5 linked regions of the Cricetulus griseus genome follow. The protein of the gene in region 1 interacts with the protein of each later gene in a biochemical or structural test. Links are inferred from orthologs where the notes say so. Each region holds a gene or a part of one and is shown on either strand. Other genes may lie near its edges.

Region 1 (2,800 bases):
CTGGTCCTCTGCCCTGCCCTCTGACCCTTTTAGTCTCTGTTCTGTCTCTGGTCTGGTTCTTCAAGGTGTTGGGACCGAGGGGAATCAGCCTCATCCAGCACTTACCCCTTGTTTTCTAGGAGGCATGATAGACCTTCGGCAGAGTGGGGCATGGGACCACCCCCACTGACACGTACATTAACTCACTTGGAGCTCAGAGCCCCCAGTTAAGCAGTACCATTTCGTAGATGAAGTAGTGAGGGATGAACTTGATGGCTCATGTGCCTTGTTCATTGAACAGTGGTCTCAAGCATCTAGCTTGGAGCAGCTACTCTAACTCAGTGACCCCTACAGCTACTTCCCCCAAGGCCTGTTTACCCTAAAGGAACCAAGTTCACAAGCCTTGGATTCTTGGGCTGCCCTGTGACTCTCAGGCCCAGGTAGTGTAAGATGGGTCACACCCCAGCAAGGGCTCCCTAGCAGTGATGCTCACAGCAGCTCAGTGAGTGGGAGAGGGCTGCTCTGGAAGGCTTACTGCAGGGTCTTGGTCACTTCCCTCCCATCTGTGTGTGTATCACTGATGAGTTGAACCTCCAAGAGAGGGTGGTCTGAGCTATTGTGGGATGCTAGTTCATGCCCTGGCCACACAACCAAGTTTGTCTCCCTGTCATCCGAATCCCTTCCAACATTCTCCTTGTGTTTCCAGGAGACCCTAGAGCCTCCAGCAAGCACAGTCACCACTAGAAGCAGCTTGCCCAGACCAGATATCAGTTCCAGGAGCTTGCACTCTGGGCCAGAGATGGGCAAACCAGGTGCACTGTTGTCCCAGGTGGACGAGCCATTCTCAGGATGCTCTATGGACCTTGCCATCAGCCCTAGCAGCTCCTTGGGCTCCGAACCCAATCATGGTCCAGAGGAGAATGAATATTCGTCCTTTAGGATCCAGGTGGATGAAGACCCCAGTGCTGACCTTCTGGTGGGAAACCCTGGGCCACTAGCTATCCCGGAGTCCCCAGAAGTTGAAGAGCTTTGTGTCAGTCAAATATCCTGGGCTAAGTGGCTCGGGGCAACTGGTGCACTCTTGGCTGCATTCCTGGGAGTGATGCTGTACCGTAGTAGGCACCTGGCCCAATGAAGATTCAGCTGTGTGCCACGCACTTGCCCAGTTCTGCCAAGCATGGTCTCTAGGCTCGGACTGGTGGAGGCTAAGTCAGGGGAACTTAGAGATGGTGAGGTCCATCAAGCCATCTGTGGGGTAGGGGAGAGACATTCTTTCCATCCTAGTTCATGACATCTTCTGGTCTTTAGCTCTTTGGGGCACTGGATTACCTCCACTGCTTCTGGCCTGCCCACATGGCGGTTTAGGATTTTGTGCTATGTGCTCCTAAGGAGGTGTCCCCACCAACGTCATCCCTGTTGGCTGAAGCCTGAAGATGGGGAGGTATCACACTTCTGTTGACAGAGCCTCTCATCCTGCCCAGGTCTTTTGAAACACAAGCACGGGTGTATTGGTGAGAGCTCCCGTAACATCGTGTGCCTTCCACCAGCAGCCTGGCCTAAGGCCTCGGTACTAGAGCCTGCAGCAGAGTGGCTGGTTTCTAGGGAGCTTTGTTTAAGTCCTGTCTCTCTGGTCCCCCTCCACAGTCAGGCAACCCTAAGGGAAGGTCTGGAGGTTCCCTGTGGACTCTGAGAAAGCCAGAAGCAGCTGCCAGGCCTGAGAAAGACACTAGGAGCCCTGCTCCAGCCTCCTTACTCCACCTCTTCACCGCCTCCCTCCTGGTCTCCATTCTCTTTAGTCTCCTACACTGGATGATGGAATACCTAGTGGGCAGAGCTCAGGCTGGGTTTGAATTTCAGTTCTAAGCTTTCTCTGGCTTTAGCAGATGTTTAGCTTCTGTAGTCTTTTTTCCCAGTGTGGACAGTGAACCCTTTCACTGGGCTTTTCTGAGACTGAAGAACATAGATATTTACATAGTGCCTAGCCCAGAGGGTGTGACTACCAAGTAATTACACTCCTGCCCAGCCTGGTTGAACTAAGGTGAGCTTGAGAGGCAGAGTACATGGTAGTAATGTTACCCTCTTTGCTTCTGAGAGAACAGCTTTGGCCTACATAGTGCTTCTGTCTCTCTGGCCCTGTGATCTCTGGCAAAGTGTGCACCTCTGGGCTTCAATTTTCTCTCCTGTGAGATGCGGCAAATATGCATACATATGTGCTAATGTGTTCTAATGTTATCAAGATAATTAAATTAAAAGTTTATCTGTGAAAACCTGTGAGTTCTGCATTTCTTAGGAGTTGGTATCCAATTCCTCATGTTATGACTTTTAAATGGAAAGGTGCTGGGTCTCTTGGCTTCACAGTTAGAGACAGGTGCTAGCATATTCTGTTTTCTTCCATGGGCAGGAAGTTTAGTCACATCAGACAATGAGGTAGGTTTAGGCCAATTTTGGTAGTGCACAGCTTTAGTCCCAGCACTCGGGAGGCAGAGGTAGGTGAATCTCTGTGAGTTTAGGGCCAGCCTGGTCTCCAGAGCAAGTTCCAGGACAGCGAGAGCTGCACAGTGAGATCCTGTCTCCAGAAAAGAAAAGAAATACAATGAGACATATCGAGGGTATGCGCATGGGTTTTTAAAGGTACCCTTTGCTGGACAAGGGATAGGCATGGAGCCAACTCTATCTCAGCTCTGTTGTGAACATAAACCTTAGAGGCATTAGGGATTGGGGTGGCTATCACAATCTTCCTTGCATGTCCTAGGGAAAAATGACCTAATGACCTGTACTTTCTGAATTTCAAGGCAAACTTCAACCAGTGCCATGAATTCTA
Region 2 (4,203 bases), on another chromosome or scaffold:
AGCCTGTGCTGAGCGCCAGGCTCTCACCTGTCGGGGTTTGGAGCCACGGGCGCTTTCTATCGTGTGTGTCTCCCGCCCCGGGACACCTTTGCCCTGGATGAGTCCACACGGCGTGGTGGGAGGACTGTTACCTAATTCTGCGCCTTGGACCACACACTTTGGGTCACTGATTGTTGGAAGGGCCCCGGCTCTCGGAGCTGTGCGGCCAGGAAAAAGATCCAAAACTCTGCAGGGCAAGTGACAAGGAAGGGGCGGACCTACTCCATCCTGCCGCGGGCCACCCGAGGGGAGGGCCGGGCCCCCGGACGCCCACTCTCGGACGGTGGCGCCGGCCCTCCCGGGGTCACATCACACCGGGGGCGGCTGTGGCGGTCACCTAGAGAGGCCGAGCCGTCCAACCGCGGGAGCCGGGCTAACACCAGCGCGGCGCGCCGACGGCCGCACCATCCACTCGCCGGGCGAACCCCAGCTCTGCTCCCTGCTTGCCGAGGAGGGCGGGGCGGACCCGAGCGCTGCCCTCTGCGTCACCCAGGGAGCCCGGGGCCATCTTGAACCCCGCGACCCCGCTACCGCCGCCCTCTTCTCCCGAGCTCAGCACCGGCTCCTCTGCAGGCCTCGGCCAATCAGCGGCGAAGCAAACCGCCCAATCAAGCCGGGAGGGAGCCCCCGTCCGAGGACCCGGATGAGGCCGAGCCGAGGCCTTCGAACCCTCGGCCCCCCGCCAGCGGCGGCGCGGTTGCCATGGCGACGGGATGGAGTTGAACGGGGGGGGGGGGGGGGGACCGCCGGCGACTCCGCTCTCGCCGGGTTGGCGCGCTCGCCGCCCCTGCCCTCCCACCCCGTCCGCCTACTGCGCATGCTCGTTTCCCGTAGCCACGCCCCCCGTCGTGCCAGCCAATCATCGGACTTGGAACCGTACGCTCTGAAGTCCAATAGGAACCCGGACATTCTTCGAAAGCGGAAGAGAAGGAAAGAGAGCGGCTCCTAGTGGGCGAGTTCTGCCGGCCCGAGCCAATCCCGTCAGAGCTGTGGCTTTGACGGGCAGCTGCGTAAACGAATGAAGACCTCCCTGGCCGAGCTCATTATTACCAATCCCTCGGCACCGCATAGTGACTGAGGCTTCGCCAGCCAATCATCATCGTGCGAGGGCGGGACCCACACGTCCTTTTCCCGCCTCCGCCCTGTAGCTCAATCCCGTCCTTTGCCTCCTGCATGATTGGCAGGCGCCTCGACCAATAGTCATGAGAAAGCCTTGAAGTCTGCCCAACGACCGTGGGCAGGAGGCGGGCCTGGCGTGCTGGGGTGTGTGTGTGCGCGCTGTGTGAGCGTCTATGTGTGTGTGTCTGGGGGTGCCGAGGGGGACGTGGGGGCGAAGCACAACCGGCCATGGCAGCAGCGGAGGACGAGGACGGGGGCCCCGAAGGCCCAAACCGCGAGCGGGGCGGGGCGGGCGCGACCTTCGAATGTAATATTTGTCTGGAGACCGCTCGCGAGGCTGTGGTCAGCGTGTGCGGACACCTGTACTGGTGAGGGCCGCGCGGAGCGCGGGAGGGAGGGAGGGTGGGTGTGCAGAGGGCAGAGGGCAGAGGGCAGAGGGCAGCCGTCCGTCACACACGGGCACAGACACAGACACGCACACACGTACACATATATACATACATACACACAGACACGCACACACATATATACATACATACACACAGACACGCTCACAGACACAGACACGCACACACGTACACATATATACACACATACACACAGACACGCACACAGACACAGACACGCTCACAGACACAGACACGCACACACATATACATACACACACATACACACAGACACGCACACACTTATATACATACATACACACAGACACGCACACACATATACATACACACACACGCACACACTTATATACATACATACACGTACACACAGACATGCACACAGACACAGACACGCACACACGTACACTTACTTATATACATACATACACACAGACACGCTCACACGTATACATACATACACGTACACACAGACACGCACACACATACATACACGTACACACAGACACGCTCACACGTATATACATACACACACAGACACGCACACACTTATATACATACATACACATACACACAGACACGCACACAGACACAGACACGCACACACGTACACATATATACATACATACACGTACACACAGACACGCTCACACATATATACATACATACACACAGACACACAGACACATACACATATGTACACATACACACAGACACGCACACACATATATACATACATACATGTACACACAGACACGTTCACACATACATACATACACAGACACAGACACACATACATACACACAGACACGCACACACATATATACATACACACACAGACACGCTCACACATACACGTACACATACATACATACACATACATACACAAGACACACAGACACACACTCACAGACACACATATACATACACACACAGACACGCTCACACACATATATACACATACAGACACACGCTCACACAGACACACACTCACACACACCACACAGGCGCACACCCGGGAGGCCTGAGGTGGGCACTGGGGTCCCGGTGTGGGGAAAGCAGGGTGTCGGGAGGGGGTGGGGTGGGAGCGGGGACGCTGAGGTGTGGCCGAGCCCGAGGTTGACACAAACACACAGGACAGACTTTCCGGTCAGGGGAGCTGCTCCTCGTCAGAGGACGGCCGGACACAGGGACTGTGTGTGTGTCTGTGTGCTTGTGTGACAGAGTGTGTGCGTACGTGAGAGGGGTGTGAAGCCGGAGGGCAGAGGCCCTGTGAAGGGCAGACAGACAGAGGGACTTTGGCGCCTGATGTGACAGGAGGAGCAGCAGGGCTGTAAGGGAGGACGGAGCGGGGGCTGAAGAGAACCCTGTTGAGTTGGGAAATCAGGGTAAGAGGCAGAAAATAGACAGGCTGAGGCAGGGAGGTGCGCGCGCGTGTGTCACTGTGTGTGTGTCAGTGTGTGTGTGTGTATGTGCATGTGTGTGTGTGCGTGTGTCAGTGTGTGTGTCAGTGTGTGTCAGTGTGTGTGTGTATGTGCATGTGTGTCACTGTGTGTGTGTCAGTGTGTGTGTGTCAGTGTGTGTATGTGCGTGTGTGTGTGCGTGTGTGTGTGACACTGTGTGTGTGTCTGTGTGTGTGCGCGCGCGTGTGTGTCACTGTGTGTCACTGTGTGTGTCAGTGTGTGTGCGTGTGTGTCAGTGTGTGTGTCAGTGTGTGTGTCTGTGTGTGTGTGCGTGTCTGTCAGTGTGTGTGTCACTGTGTGTGTGTCACTGTGTGTCAGTGTGTGTCACTGTGTGTGTGTCAGTGTGTGTGTGTGTGTCACTGTGTGTCACTGTGTGTCACTGTGTGTGTCAGTGTGTGTGCGTGTGTGTCAGTGTGTGTGAGTGTCAGTGTGTGTGTCTGTGTGTGTGTGCGTGTCTGTCAGTGTGTGTGTCACTGTGTGTGTGTCACTGTGTGTGTCAGTGTGTGTCACTGTGTGTGTCAGTGTGTGTGCGTGTGTGTCACTGTGTGTGTCACTGTGTGTGTGTCAGTGTGTGTGTGTGTGTGTCACTGTGTGTGTGCAGACAGAGGGAGGGAGGGAGCAGAAACAATGTGTTGCACGGGAGAAGCCTGGGGCCCTGGGGACGAGGGCTGTTGTCGGGAGGGCTGTTGTCAGGAGGACGGTTGTTGGGAGAGCGGTTGTCGGAGAGCGGTTGTCGGCAGGATGGTTGTCGGGAGGACGGTTGTCAGGATGCCCTCGGTGACCGCAGGCTGTGGAGGCAGAAACAGCCGCAGTACCGGGGCGGCTGCTGCAGTGGGCACAGGGTGCCGGCTGTTTTCTGCCATGTGATGAGTTTTGTTTCTCTCCTCCTCCGTGTGCAGCTGGCCCTGTCTTCATCAGGTATGTGCTCCTGTGCTCCTGACATGGGCGGGGCGCGGGGTATGTGCTCCTGTGCTCCTGACATGGGCAGGGAGGGCGGGGAGGGCGGGGAGGGCGGGGAGGGCTCGGGGTATGTGCTCCTGTGCTCCTGTGCTCCTGACATGGGCGGGGAGGGCGGGGAGGGCTCCACGACCTTCGTGTGTCTGCAAACACTTTGTCTTTCCCGCAGTGGCTGGAGACGCGGCCAGACCGGCAAGAGTGCCCCGTGTGTAAAGCCGGCA
Region 3 (3,729 bases), about 23 Mb from region 1:
GAAGGTACTAAATAGGACTTAAGGCCATAATTCAGGAAACCTACTGTCCTACCCTAATTTGTGGGGGCTACATACTAGCTTAGCATTTGAGGGATATAAGGCCTGGCTGATGTCTGCAGGGGCAGCCTCTTTGATCTAACCTTGGAATTGAACTCAGGTCCTCGTGCTTGAGGGCAAACACTCTTGTCTACAGTGCCATATAGCTGCCTTCCTTTTACTGTTTGAAATATGTACCTGAACAAGCAGACAATAATATACTTCTTTAAGATTTTATTTATTTATCATGTATACAACATTCTGCTTCCATGTATATCTGCACACCAGCAGAGGGCATCAGATCTCATAACAGATGGTTGTGAGCCACCATGTGGTTGCTGGGAATTGAACTCAGGACCTCTGGAAGAGCAGTCGGTGCTCTTAACCTCTGAGCCATCTCTCCAGCCCAATAATATACTTTTAAACATATCCAGCTTCCTAGGACATACAAAAAAACAAAACAAAACAAAGCCGGGCAGTGGTGGCACAAGCCTTAATTCCAGGAGACAGAGGCTGAGGCAGAGGCAGGGGAATCTCTGTGTTTGAGGCCAGCCTGGTCTACAAAGTATGTTCAGGACAGCTAGGGCTGTTACACAGAGAGACCAATTTTGAAAGTTCTTTAGGAGCTGCCTCTCCGTGTCCATGCTCCCCACTTCCCATAAAGCCTGGGAAAATGAATTTAAGCCTTCCTCGAGGTAGGAAAGTACTGTTCCCTGCGTAACATTCCTAGACTATACTTCTTTCTAGCTTCTCAAAGGGCTCTACGTGTGAATTCTCAGTTCGTGTGTTGTCAATTCCGCATGTTCTCTATTGCCTGGTAAGCTGCTTCTGATACATCCTCCCATTCCGTGATTTTTCTCTCCTACTTTATCTACATCGCCTATTAACCCCACATCGGGAGACTATGCTTTTTACGGCTGATGCAGAAACTTTTTAAAGCCCGGCGGGGTGGGAGTGGGGAGCTGGAGCGTTAGTTAGCTCCACAGTTAAGAGCACTCGCTACTATTACAGAGGAGCTCGGTTCGGTTCCCAGCACCGCCAGTAACTCACTCCAGCCTCCGGAAATCCGACTTTGACCTCCTCGGGCACCCGCACTCGCGTCGTACACAGACACGTAAAACTTTTAAAAGCCGGGGCGTTCCACTCCCTCCCCGCCCGGTAGTAACCCGCCCGTCCTCCGTTACTACCTTTGATCTCTAAGTTCAGTGAAGGGGCAGTGTCAAGCGCTGGAGGGGACGACCAACCGGCTTTCCCCTCAGTCTGAGGAGCCAAGAGACAAGCCCGCCAGCCGTGACGTCACAGGACCGTGACGCGCCCGGAGCTCCGCCCCCTTGCGCCCTGCGCCGGGAATCCGGGCTGCCTGCGCCGTGGCGTCACAGGTCCGGGCAGGCGGGTTTTCCGTCGGCCCAATGGGAGCGGCGCGCCGGCCTCCCCTTTAAGGAATGTTGTGACCTGACGTCACCCAGGCGAGTTACCTCCCGCAGCCACCACCGCCAGGCTCAGCGCGAGCCCTGCAGCCCTTGAGCTCGAGCCCCGGAGTCCCCGGCGCACCGAACCGCAGCCACATCCCTGAGCCGCGCGCCCCGGAGCCCCGGCTGCGCGCCCCGCCGGGCCCGCGCCATGCCCTCAGACCGGCCTTTCAAGCAGCGGCGCAGCTTCGGTGAGGCCCTGGGGGCGAACTGCGAGCAGGGATCGAGGGATGGGGGTGCCAGCCGACCCCGATTGCCGCAGGTGACGTCAGCCCCGTGACGTCAGGCACCGGCCGGCCGGACCCCGGGTGGGGAGGCCGCAAGGCCTGGCAGGGTCGCCCGTCTCCCCACCGCGTCCCCGGTCGAGGGCTGTGGGGCCGACGGCCCCGGGGGCGGGCGCTGGGGCGGGGCGGGCCCGGAGCCGCCCCTCGGGGACGGCGAGGCGGAGTCGCGGGAGGCCTCAGCCCTGCCGGGCCTCACGCCGAGTGCTGTCCGCAGCTGACCGCTGTAAGGAGGTGCAGCAGATCCGCGACCAGCACCCCAGCAAGATCCCGGTGAGTCTCTAGCCCCCCCGGCCACGCCCTGTCCTGCCAGGCCCCGCCCCTGGCTCACGAGTCCCCCGCCCACTATGCTCCCAGGTGATCATCGAGCGCTACAAGGGTGAGAAGCAGCTGCCTGTCCTGGATAAGACCAAGTTTCTGGTCCCAGACCATGTTAACATGAGCGAGTTGGTCAAGATCATCCGGTGCGTGGGCAGCCTCCTGAAGCCCTTGGGTGGGGTCAGGGCCAGGTTCCACTCGGAAGGGGTGGAGTGGGGCAAGGGGACAGGATATAGGGCATCCAGCCCCTGTTCTAGGAGGCTGGACAAGGTCAAGGTCGGGGTTGGAGTGAACTTCTACAAAGGTGAGAGCGTCTAGCCCGGGCTGTGTTGGTTCAAAAGTGGAGATTCGGGAGGGACACCCAGGCCCCCAGCAGGCGACCTCCTCACCTGGCATGCCCTCCTGCCTCTGCAGGCGCCGCCTGCAGCTCAACCCCACGCAGGCCTTCTTCCTGCTGGTGAACCAGCACAGCATGGTGAGCGTATCCACGCCCATCGCTGACATCTACGAACAGGAGAAGGATGAAGACGGATTCCTCTACATGGTCTATGCCTCCCAAGAAACCTTTGGCTTCTGAGTCAGGAGGAGGGGTGGGGGATGGTTGGGGATTCTGGTCAAGCTTTCTCCAGGGAGGTCCTGGCTCCTAAGCTGAGCTATTTCATTCCCGAGTGGGTTAGGCAGAGATGTGAACTCCCTACCCCTCCCCTGGTGGGGGACACCAGCCAGCCTACCATGCTCTGGTGTAGGTCCTGCCAGTCACGTTAGGGTTGCTCCTCTGGGTACTGGCTCAGTTGGGAGTGGGTGGGGAACAGCACCCCTGCTGTGTGGTTTGTCTTTTTTTTTTTTTTTTTTTTTTTAGCCCCTTGCCTGTCTGCCCACCTGTCCCTTATCCACCTGAGGCATTTGCCTCCTGCCAGGACCTGCCCATCTCTGAAAGGCTGACCCCGTTGTCCTGACATGGTGTATGGATCTGTGGTCATTTCCTCAGCAAAATAAAGATTGCTTAGGCCTGCCTGGCCCTTTGCCTCCAGCTGCTTGTTTGGGAGTAGGGAGGGCTGCTAGGTGACCGTCTCCACATACTTGTGCCAGTCAGGACACAGGCTTGTGTTCTATGGACTTGGGTTTCCAAAAACCTACTTCTTAGTACAGGATACTCTGCAGTATTAGGGGCCAGATTCACCCCACTCCAGGAATAGATGGCATCAGAACAACAATGAAAAAACCCACACATTTATTAAGTAGCCACAACCTATAAAGCCCTGCTCACCTGCAGGTTTCCCCTTCCTTCCTGTGCAGTCACAAAGTGGGAGGTCCAAGTGGGGTGCTCCAAACTTCTCCCCCTGGGCCAGCTATGAGTCCCCTATGGTACCAGAGATTTGTAACCCTGGATTTGAACCTCTTCTGCCTGAGGACTCGCCTGCTGGCAACTCTGGATAAGGGACCTGGCGGGCTCCTGGCCCTTCCCCCTCTTGTCCATGCAGTTCTGTGCCAGCCAGGGCTACTTGAGCACAAGCATAGCCTCTGTGCCGTCCTTGGCAGTCAAATAGAGACCATGTGTGAGGTAATACTCCCGTCGCAGGAAGGCATAGAAGTAGTCAGAGATGAGCAGGATCTGGCAGGGAAGA
Region 4 (3,612 bases), on another chromosome or scaffold:
CTGAAAGGACATTAAAGTCAGATACTTTCCTTTCCTGAGGGATTTATTTCCCTGAGGCTCCCACCGACCCCATCATAGAATCCACGACCTTTATCTTTCCTACGTTAAGTGAGCACTTTTGATAGAGCTCCACTCCAGGTTTTAAAGGGAAGCCTGTCATTCCCCACAAGGCTCCACTCATACTATCTCTGACACAGTGTGCTGTTCTCTCTAATGACCTTTACTACTTTTTATTGCCTTCTGGAACAAATCCACCAACTGCTACTCTTCTTCACCTAACCCAGAAGTTCTCAACCTGTGTGGCTAGATCCCTCTTGTGGGCGGGTTCCACTGACTCTTTCACAGGGGCCACCCGAGACTATGGAAAATATTAGATATTTTCATTCCAAGTTATAAGAGTATCAGATTTACAGTTATGATGTAGCAATGAAAATAATTTTATGGTGTGGGGGGTGGGTCACCACAACATAAGGAACTATATTAAAGGCTAGCAGCATTAGGAAGGTTGAGAACTGAAACCCCTCCTGTAATTCAGGACACTGAGGTAAGAGGACTGCTGCTAGTCCAAAGCTGACATGAGCAAAGATCAAGACACTGTCTCAAACAGCTGGGCACAGTGTCTCACACGTGTAATTCTAGCACTCCAGAGGTAGGAGGGTTCCCTAGATCACTAGAGTTCAAGGTCAGCTAGGACACACACACCCATACAAGCACACGGCACACACACACACAGGCACACGCACACAGGCACACACATATATAGAGGCATGTTCACACACAGAAACACACATGCAAACAGAGGCATGTTCACACACAGAAACACACATGCATACAAAGGCATGTTCACACAACAGGCAGAAGAGAGAAAGGACGGAAAACTGGGGTGTCCTCACTCTGCTTCTAGCTGAGTCTGAACCCCTTCTTTGGCACCTGTGACTCTGGCAAGCTCTGATAAGTTCTCTCTTTCTCTTCCAGGGCATCATAGACAACTTGAGCAGGTATGATGGGCGTCCCAGTGTACCATGCTTTCTGGTTCACTTGCACATACAACATTCAGCCTATTTCCAAATATGTTCACATCCCCCAATAACTCTGCTATAAATGACTTAGGCTGCAGATGGGGAAGACCAAACTGGCCACAGCAGCACAGTAGCTTTTTTTATTTTCACCATATTCCCATCCTGGCCTCCTGACACTCAGCTTCCTGGCTCTACCCCAGAAACCACCTCCCAGACCCTTGCTGCCCACTCTCTGTCCCCTGAACTCACCACTCAGATCAACATTATCTTCACAGGAGTGTGGAATTTAAGTTTCTCAATCCAACCCCAGTTCCTGAGGACCTGGAGAGAAAAACCAGGGAAGCAATAGCAAGACATGCAGTCATCATAAAAAGCCTGGAGGGATTAAAAGGTGAGGTGTAGCTGCCACTGCCTGTGCTTATCTGCCTCAGGATTCTTTCCATCACCCCAGACGCTGCCTGAACTCTCTTGGTGCTAGCCCCTAAGCCTGTCAGAAGCTAAGCTGAAAGCTGGGCAGTTTCAAAGCATCATTATCCAGAAATTTCTCATGCTACAGCCCCAAAGCCAAAGCACTTCTTCTCTGGGAATTTTTCCTTGATTACTAGGTGGTGAACATGGGGCTAGAAGCATGTTTCCAATTTGTTAGCTGCTGGCCACATGTACCCCTGGGCACCAGAATTACAGCATTCACACATAGTGCAGGTAAAGAATAAACATTGACTCTGAAAGGCTTAATATTAAAATAGAACATAAGATATAATAATGAAAACAAAAGCAAACGGAAGTACTGTCCAGGGTAGTCTCTTATGGAAGAGTTCAATGGCCTTCCCATTTGAGCCTTCTAAGCATCTGGGACTCCAGCACCCAGCACTGTGCCTGGTAGCAGTAAGCCTTTATCCTACAAGCTGAAATGACAGTGTTTCTTAACATTCTGAGCTGAAGAAAACACTATTTAAATTCATTTCTTTTTTAAAGTTCTATTTATTTTATTTGTATGGGTGTTGTGTATGCATGTATCATGTGCTTGTCTGGTGCCCATGGATGTCAGAAGAGGTTGTCAGACTCCCTGGGGTTGGAGTTCCAGTGGGTGCTGGTAGTCGGACTGGGTCCACTGGTGCTTTTAACTACTGAGGCCTCTCTCCAGCCCCCTTTTTCTTTCCTTTTGAGACACTGTGTAAATATCCCAGACTCTGAAACTCGCTACATACCGTGGACTAGCCCAAAAGTTGTCATCCTCCTGCATCAGCTTCCTGGGTGTCAGCATCTTTTAGGATTGCAAAATGGTATCTAGAAAATTCAAAATTCAGTGGCTCGTGTTTGTGGCTCTTAATACCTTTGTTCTGGACTGAGCTGTACTGGACAACCACCTCAGGGAGACCCTAGGGCAGCTCTCCCTGTTTGGCTGCCTTCTTGGTCCACTGAGACTATGAGAGGAACACCAATATCACTTCTCCCTGCCCATATCAGCAATCAGGGATTCACTGTGTGGTCCTGGTTGCCTCTATATCCTTCACCCTCTCCTCGTAGACAACCTGAAGACTGAAGGGAAGAAAGATAAAAGCGCGTTCCTGGACAGCCTGAGTAAACAGGAGATGGAAAGATGTAAGTGTGTGCTAACCCTGCTGTTTGGGGAAAGTGAAGAATACAAGAGGAAGAGTTCTCTCTTTAGGGGGAGGACTGAGGGAGGAAGGTCCAGTGTGGGTGAACACCAATAAAGAACAAACTTACAGAATTGTTTTAGATTTTATGTGTAGCCAATCAGAGTGACACCAAACCAAAGACCAGAAAAAGCAAAGCAGCCAGCCACGAGACAGTTCTTATTTCTACCAAGGCTTGGGGCCAAAAGGGGTAATTCTGTCCTCAGCATGACTGCAGACTGAATACACTACACTCCTGTCTCCACCTGTCTTATATTCCTGCCTAGTGCTGGGATTAAAGGCATGGGATCCCAAGTGCTGAGATCACCTTGGTATGAGCTCTGTTTCTCTTTTAGACTGATTCACTCTCATGTAGCCCTTGGTGGCCTTGAACTAACAGAGATCCATCTGCCTCTGCCTCCCGAGTGCTGAGATTAAAGGTGTGGCCACCCTGCTTGTCCTCTACGGCTAACTAGTGGCTTGGGTGTGTGGCTAATTAGTGGCACTTAGTGTGTGTGTGTGTGTGTGTGTGTGTGTGTGTGTGTGTGGCTAACTAGTGGCTTAGCTCTTAACTAGGTGTGTGGCTAACTAGTGGCTTAGCTCTGCACTCTGATCTTCAGGCAAGCTTTATTTGTTAGATTACAGACAATGTATCACTACACAGCAAAACTGAGGAGTGGAGGAGACCCACTGAGACAATATCCTGTAATGATGTCATCTGAGGTGGTTCAGCTATGAGGGTAGCTAGGAAAAAGGTCAGGTTCAGCCTGCCATCCTCAATATGCCTTTTAATTTATAACCTCTTGCTATCAACCTAAAATTTGTTTTCTCTCTCCAATTTCTAGGGCACCTGTTACAGAAGAATAACTCAGACTTGCACAACTCAGGTAGGAATACTGCCTGGCACACTGGTCTTCCTGTAGGGAAGCAAGGGGCCTCCAGGTCTGCAGGTCAAA
Region 5 (4,152 bases), about 110 Mb from region 1:
GCTTGTGCTAAAACTGAGCAGTGTTCTGGGGGTGGGGGAGGGAGAGGGAGAGGGAAAGTACATGTGAAAATATTAATAATTTAATAAAAAAAAAAACAAGCCAAAATAAAAAAAAAAAAAAAAAAAAAACTGAGCAGTGTTCACCTTGCAACAGGTACTGTCTGGATTTTCCTAACCAAAGCTCCTACCCATTAAAGCTTCACAGGTGATCTGGATAATCTCTTACCAGGCTGGGAGCCATAGCAGGGGCGTAGGGGAAGGAAGCAGGGCCGAGAGGACTCCAGGGGAGGGGCTCCTCTCCCAAGGGGACAAGGAAGACATCTTCGGAGGCGGCTCAGGAAATCTGTTGGCTCCTCTTGGGCAGGGTTCCTGGGGACAAGAACCTCGGAGTGACCCCATGGAAGATCACTCTTCAAACTCGAGATAGGCATATGGGGTCAGATCTGAAAGGAGACAGGCTGGGACCAGTACCAAGACTCAGGAAGACCTTCCAGTCAAAAGCTGGCCCTGGGGGAATGGACACTCACTCACCTGGGTGGAGTTGGAACAGGGGACCCAGCAGCTTCACCGCGCCTAAGGAAGGCAGCCAAAACCCTAAGTGTGTCCTCTCGGAGCCCCAGATCTTCAGAGCCGGCCATGGAGGCACCTGAGGGAGAAAACAGAGCATGAACCCAAGTGTGGTGACAAGCTCAAACTTCTGAGTCCCTGAATGAACAGGGTGCCAGAACTCGGGAGACAGAAGGCTGGTCAGTGAGACAGAGTTGATTCCGTGGAGGAAAAGGGGGCTGGAGAAAGAAGGGTTTAAGACAGGAGGTAGCTGAGTGCTTAAACTCCTACATCCAGGAGAGGGAATGGGGTTTGGAACTCTCAGCCCTGAATGCTGAAAGATGCACTCATCCAGGTATCTAAGTCCTTAGGGGATAGAGAACTACCAATCCCAGTACGCTCGGCGGTACACATTGGCCCGATTTCCCCGCTTTTTCGCCGAGCAGCCTGCTGGGAGATGTAGTTCCAACTACCTTCGGCTAGCACCAGAGCCTCTGGGTGCTCGGACTCAGAGAGGCAGGACTGACTGTGGCCGCTCGTGCAACTGGTTCCCTTCCCTTTCTGTTCTAGTCCCTCCCTGGCACCCCGCTCACCTGGTTTGGGGCTCTGCTCTAGTCGCGCCGGCGCCGGCTCCCACGGTTTCACTCAATTTCATCAAACTTTTCTTGGTAAATTCAACTTTCCCGCGCCTGCGCACTGGGCCGACCTGCTAACCGCCCCAACGTTGAAGGGGCGTGGCGTTGTGTTGCAGTCTCATTTGCATATGGCGTTCCCAGCATGCCTATGGGCGGAAGTCCAAAAAAGGGCATTGAGAGAGTTGGGTGGCGCCCAGAGGTGCTCTCTCGGCTTTTGCGTTTCTTACCCAAATTATGAGAAAATTGTTTTCATCCCAAAATATCGTTAGAAAAGACAGTCCCAGCGCTCGGAGGCTTAGCTGACAGGAGGGGAAGGGTGCGTGGCTGCGAGACTCAGAACCACTGGGAGCCCTGAAGCCAGTGTTGGCCCCGGCGCCCCACGAGCGCGCGATTCCTCCCCGGTAGGTAACGCGGAAGAATCGGGAGGGTGGCGGCCTCAGGAGCTCGGCTACCGAGAACCAAAGGGCCGCGCGATGAAGACGCAGGCCTGCAGTCTCTCAGCACTCGGGCTGAAGGTAGCGATACTGCTGGAAATTCAAGGCCAGTCTGGACCTCAGGATGAGCTGCAGACTAGCCTGGGCTCCTGGATAAGTTTGAGGCTACCTTTGTTTACAGTGGAATCCGAGGCCAGCTTGGGCCACACAGAGAGTCCCAGGCCAGTTTGGGTTGCAGTTGAAGACCAGCCTATGCTACGTACTAAGACCCTGTCTCAAAGCATCCATAAAAAGAATATAGAAAAATCAAAATAGAAGAAGCCTGGAAACAGGCGACTGCACTTGAGAGAATACTCTGGAAATAAGCCAGGGTTTTCGGTGCAAGGGAACTGTGGGTGAGGGAGCAGTCAGTCTTGGAAAGACTAGGGAAAGAGGGCTCCACCCTAGAAGCGGGGTACCTGCTTTGGCTAACAGAGAAGGAACTGATGGGTAGGTACAGAGTTTCTACCGAAGACGGCCCCACTGGCTATGAAAGGGCGGAAGGGCTTTTCCGTTTGTGCCCCCACGAAAGCATGAGTGAAAGATTTGCGCCGTGACGGGTCAAGGAGGTTTCAGTGCGTTTGCCCCTTGACACGCAGGCTTTAGGAACTGCCCTGTGTGCGCAGGCCCGAGCATGGGAACCCCGAAACCGCGGATCTTGCCCTGGCTGGTGTCGCAGCTGGACCTGGGGCAGCTGAAAGGCGTGGCCTGGCTGGATGAGAGCCGCACTCGGTTCCGGATCCCCTGGAAGCATGGCCTGCGGCAGGACGCCCAGATGGCTGACTTTGGCATCTTCCAGGTGCTGGGGGCCAAAGACTTTGAAAGACTTTGGAAGACTTTGGAGAGGCGTTCCTGGGCGTGGCTAGGCAGGGGCGGGGTCTTGCTAATGAAGGTGGGTAGGACTGGGAGGGATAGACAGGAACGGATCAGCAGATTACAAGACTATAACCCGGAAATTAAGTTTGGATTGCTTAAGGACCGGCTATAGCAGTGTTTCTCAACTTGAGGGTCTCAGATCAGATTTTTTTTTTTTTTTTTTTTGGGTTTTCGAGACAGGGTTTCTCTGTGGCTTTGGAGGCTGTCCTGGAACTAGCTCTTGTAGACCAGGCTGGTCTCGAACTCACAGAGATCCGCCTGCCTCTGCCTCCCGAGTGTTGGGATTAAAGGCGTGCACCACCAACACCCGGCCAGATCAGATATTTATATTACGATTCATAACAGTAGCAAACTACAGTTATTAAGTAGTAACGACAATCATTTTATGGTTGGGGTCACTACAGCAGGAACTGTATTAAAAGGCTGCAGTATTAAGAAGGTTGATAATTACAGCTGCAGAGGATGGGAGATCTTTGGGGGTGGGCTCTTGATTTTAGAACCCTTAAATCTTAAGGTCTGAGAATGCCTTATGGATGGAGTCATTGACATAGCATGGACTAGAGGTAGTAATAGAATGAGAGACTGGAGCCGGGCGTTGGTGATACACACCTTTAATCCCAGCACTCGGGAGGCAGGCAGGCAGATCTCTGTGAGTTTGAAGCCAGCCTGGTCTACAAGAGCTAGTTCCAAGACAGCCTCCAAAGCAATACAGAAAAACCCTGTCTCAAACCGCCCCCCAACAAAAAAAAAAAAAAAGGCTTGAAGGCTGAGAAGGTGGCACAGTTTGTAATCCTAGCACTCTGGAGGCATCAGCAGGAGTTCAGCTGTGTAAGAAACCCTGTTTCAAAACCAAAAAGGATTTTGTTTTTCAAGACAGGGTTTCTCTGTGGCTTTGGAGGCTGTCCTGGAATTAGCTCTTGTAGACCAGGCTGGTCTCCAACTCACAGAGATCTGCCTGCCTCTGCCTCCCAAATGCTGAGGATTAAAGGCATGCGCCACCACTGCCAGGTTAAAAAGGATTTCTTTTGGTGCAGGAAATAGTAGATAAAGATGAGGATGGAAGGTGTAGGGGCCCAGTCTCAAACCACAAGATGGAACATGGTGGGAGGTGTCAGGACCTAAAGGCAGAGTCTAAGTCGTTTCCCCTCCTATTCTGGAATCACTGGTTTGTCAGGCCTGGGCCGAAGCCAGTGGTGCCTACACCCCAGGAAAGGATAAGCCAGACCTGTCAACCTGGAAGAGGAACTTCCGGTCAGCCCTGAACCGGAAAGAAGTGTTGCGATTAGCTGATGACAAGAGCAAGGACCCTTTTGATCCTCATAAAGTGTATGAGTTTGTGACTCCAGGTGTGTGTAACAAGGCTGGCTTGGGATCATAAAAACCTTGGGATCAGGAGGCCCTCTGCCCTTCATTTTACTTACCCTTTCTCTGAACAGCAGCAAGAGACTTTGTACATCTGGACACCTCTCCTGATACCAATGGCAAAAGCAGTCTGTCTGATCCCCAGGTGAGGAGGAACCAGTCCTGTACCTCATCCTTGCCCTGTCTGTCCTCCCCAGCCCCAGCTTTCACCCTCCACTCCTTCACCAGTCTGCTGCCCTCTTGAGCCGGCTGAAGCTGTT

The links.
Region 2: the proteins of Mavs (region 1) and Rnf5 form a complex in vitro, tested with the Homo sapiens proteins (2 studies listed by BioGRID, with this or other methods). The link is inferred for Cricetulus griseus from reciprocal best matches to the Homo sapiens genes MAVS and RNF5.
Region 3: the proteins of Mavs (region 1) and Map1lc3a form a complex in vitro, tested with the Homo sapiens proteins (2 studies listed by BioGRID and IntAct, with this or other methods). The link is inferred for Cricetulus griseus from reciprocal best matches to the Homo sapiens genes MAVS and MAP1LC3A.
Region 4: of the proteins of Mavs (region 1) and Trim31, one has a biochemical effect on the other in vitro, tested with the Homo sapiens proteins (2 studies listed by BioGRID). The link is inferred for Cricetulus griseus from reciprocal best matches to the Homo sapiens genes MAVS and TRIM31.
Region 5: the proteins of Mavs (region 1) and Irf3 form a complex in vitro, tested with the Homo sapiens proteins (2 studies listed by BioGRID). The link is inferred for Cricetulus griseus from reciprocal best matches to the Homo sapiens genes MAVS and IRF3.

What each region holds. Positions count from the first base shown.
Region 1 is NC_048599.1:47,325,287-47,328,086, reverse strand, and holds the end of Mavs (mitochondrial antiviral-signaling protein), read left to right. Parts: intron 1-685; coding exon 686-1,114; 3' UTR 1,115-2,248; downstream 2,249-2,800.
Region 2 is NW_023276806.1:231,214,244-231,218,446, reverse strand, and holds the start of Rnf5 (E3 ubiquitin-protein ligase RNF5), read left to right. Parts: upstream 1-1,308; 5' UTR 1,309-1,386; coding exon 1,387-1,526; intron 1,527-3,924; coding exon 3,925-3,943; intron 3,944-4,151; coding exon 4,152-4,203. UniProt on the Homo sapiens protein: Membrane-bound E3 ubiquitin-protein ligase that mediates ubiquitination of target proteins. May function together with E2 ubiquitin-conjugating enzymes UBE2D1/UBCH5A and UBE2D2/UBC4.
Region 3 is NC_048599.1:24,365,364-24,369,092, reverse strand, and holds Map1lc3a (microtubule-associated proteins 1A/1B light chain 3A), read left to right. Parts: upstream 1-1,395; 5' UTR 1,396-1,656; coding exon 1,657-1,696; intron 1,697-2,003; coding exon 2,004-2,059; intron 2,060-2,143; coding exon 2,144-2,250; intron 2,251-2,518; coding exon 2,519-2,681; 3' UTR 2,682-3,122; downstream 3,123-3,729. Other genes in the region: Pigu (phosphatidylinositol glycan anchor biosynthesis class U protein precursor), read right to left, coding at 3,603-3,716. UniProt on the Homo sapiens protein: Ubiquitin-like modifier involved in formation of autophagosomal vacuoles (autophagosomes). While LC3s are involved in elongation of the phagophore membrane, the GABARAP/GATE-16 subfamily is essential for a later stage in autophagosome maturation.
Region 4 is NW_023276806.1:228,838,726-228,842,337, reverse strand, and holds part of Trim31 (E3 ubiquitin-protein ligase TRIM31), read left to right. Parts: intron 1-975; coding exon 976-998; intron 999-1,294; coding exon 1,295-1,410; intron 1,411-2,546; coding exon 2,547-2,621; intron 2,622-3,501; coding exon 3,502-3,543; intron 3,544-3,612.
Region 5 is NC_048599.1:153,883,768-153,887,919, forward strand, and holds the start of Irf3 (interferon regulatory factor 3), read left to right. Parts: upstream 1-1,331; 5' UTR 1,332-1,582; intron 1,583-2,253; 5' UTR 2,254-2,288; coding exon 2,289-2,546; intron 2,547-3,704; coding exon 3,705-3,876; intron 3,877-3,966; coding exon 3,967-4,037; intron 4,038-4,089; exon of another isoform or gene 4,090-4,152. Other genes in the region: Bcl2l12 (bcl-2-like protein 12), read right to left, coding at 227-369, 532-638.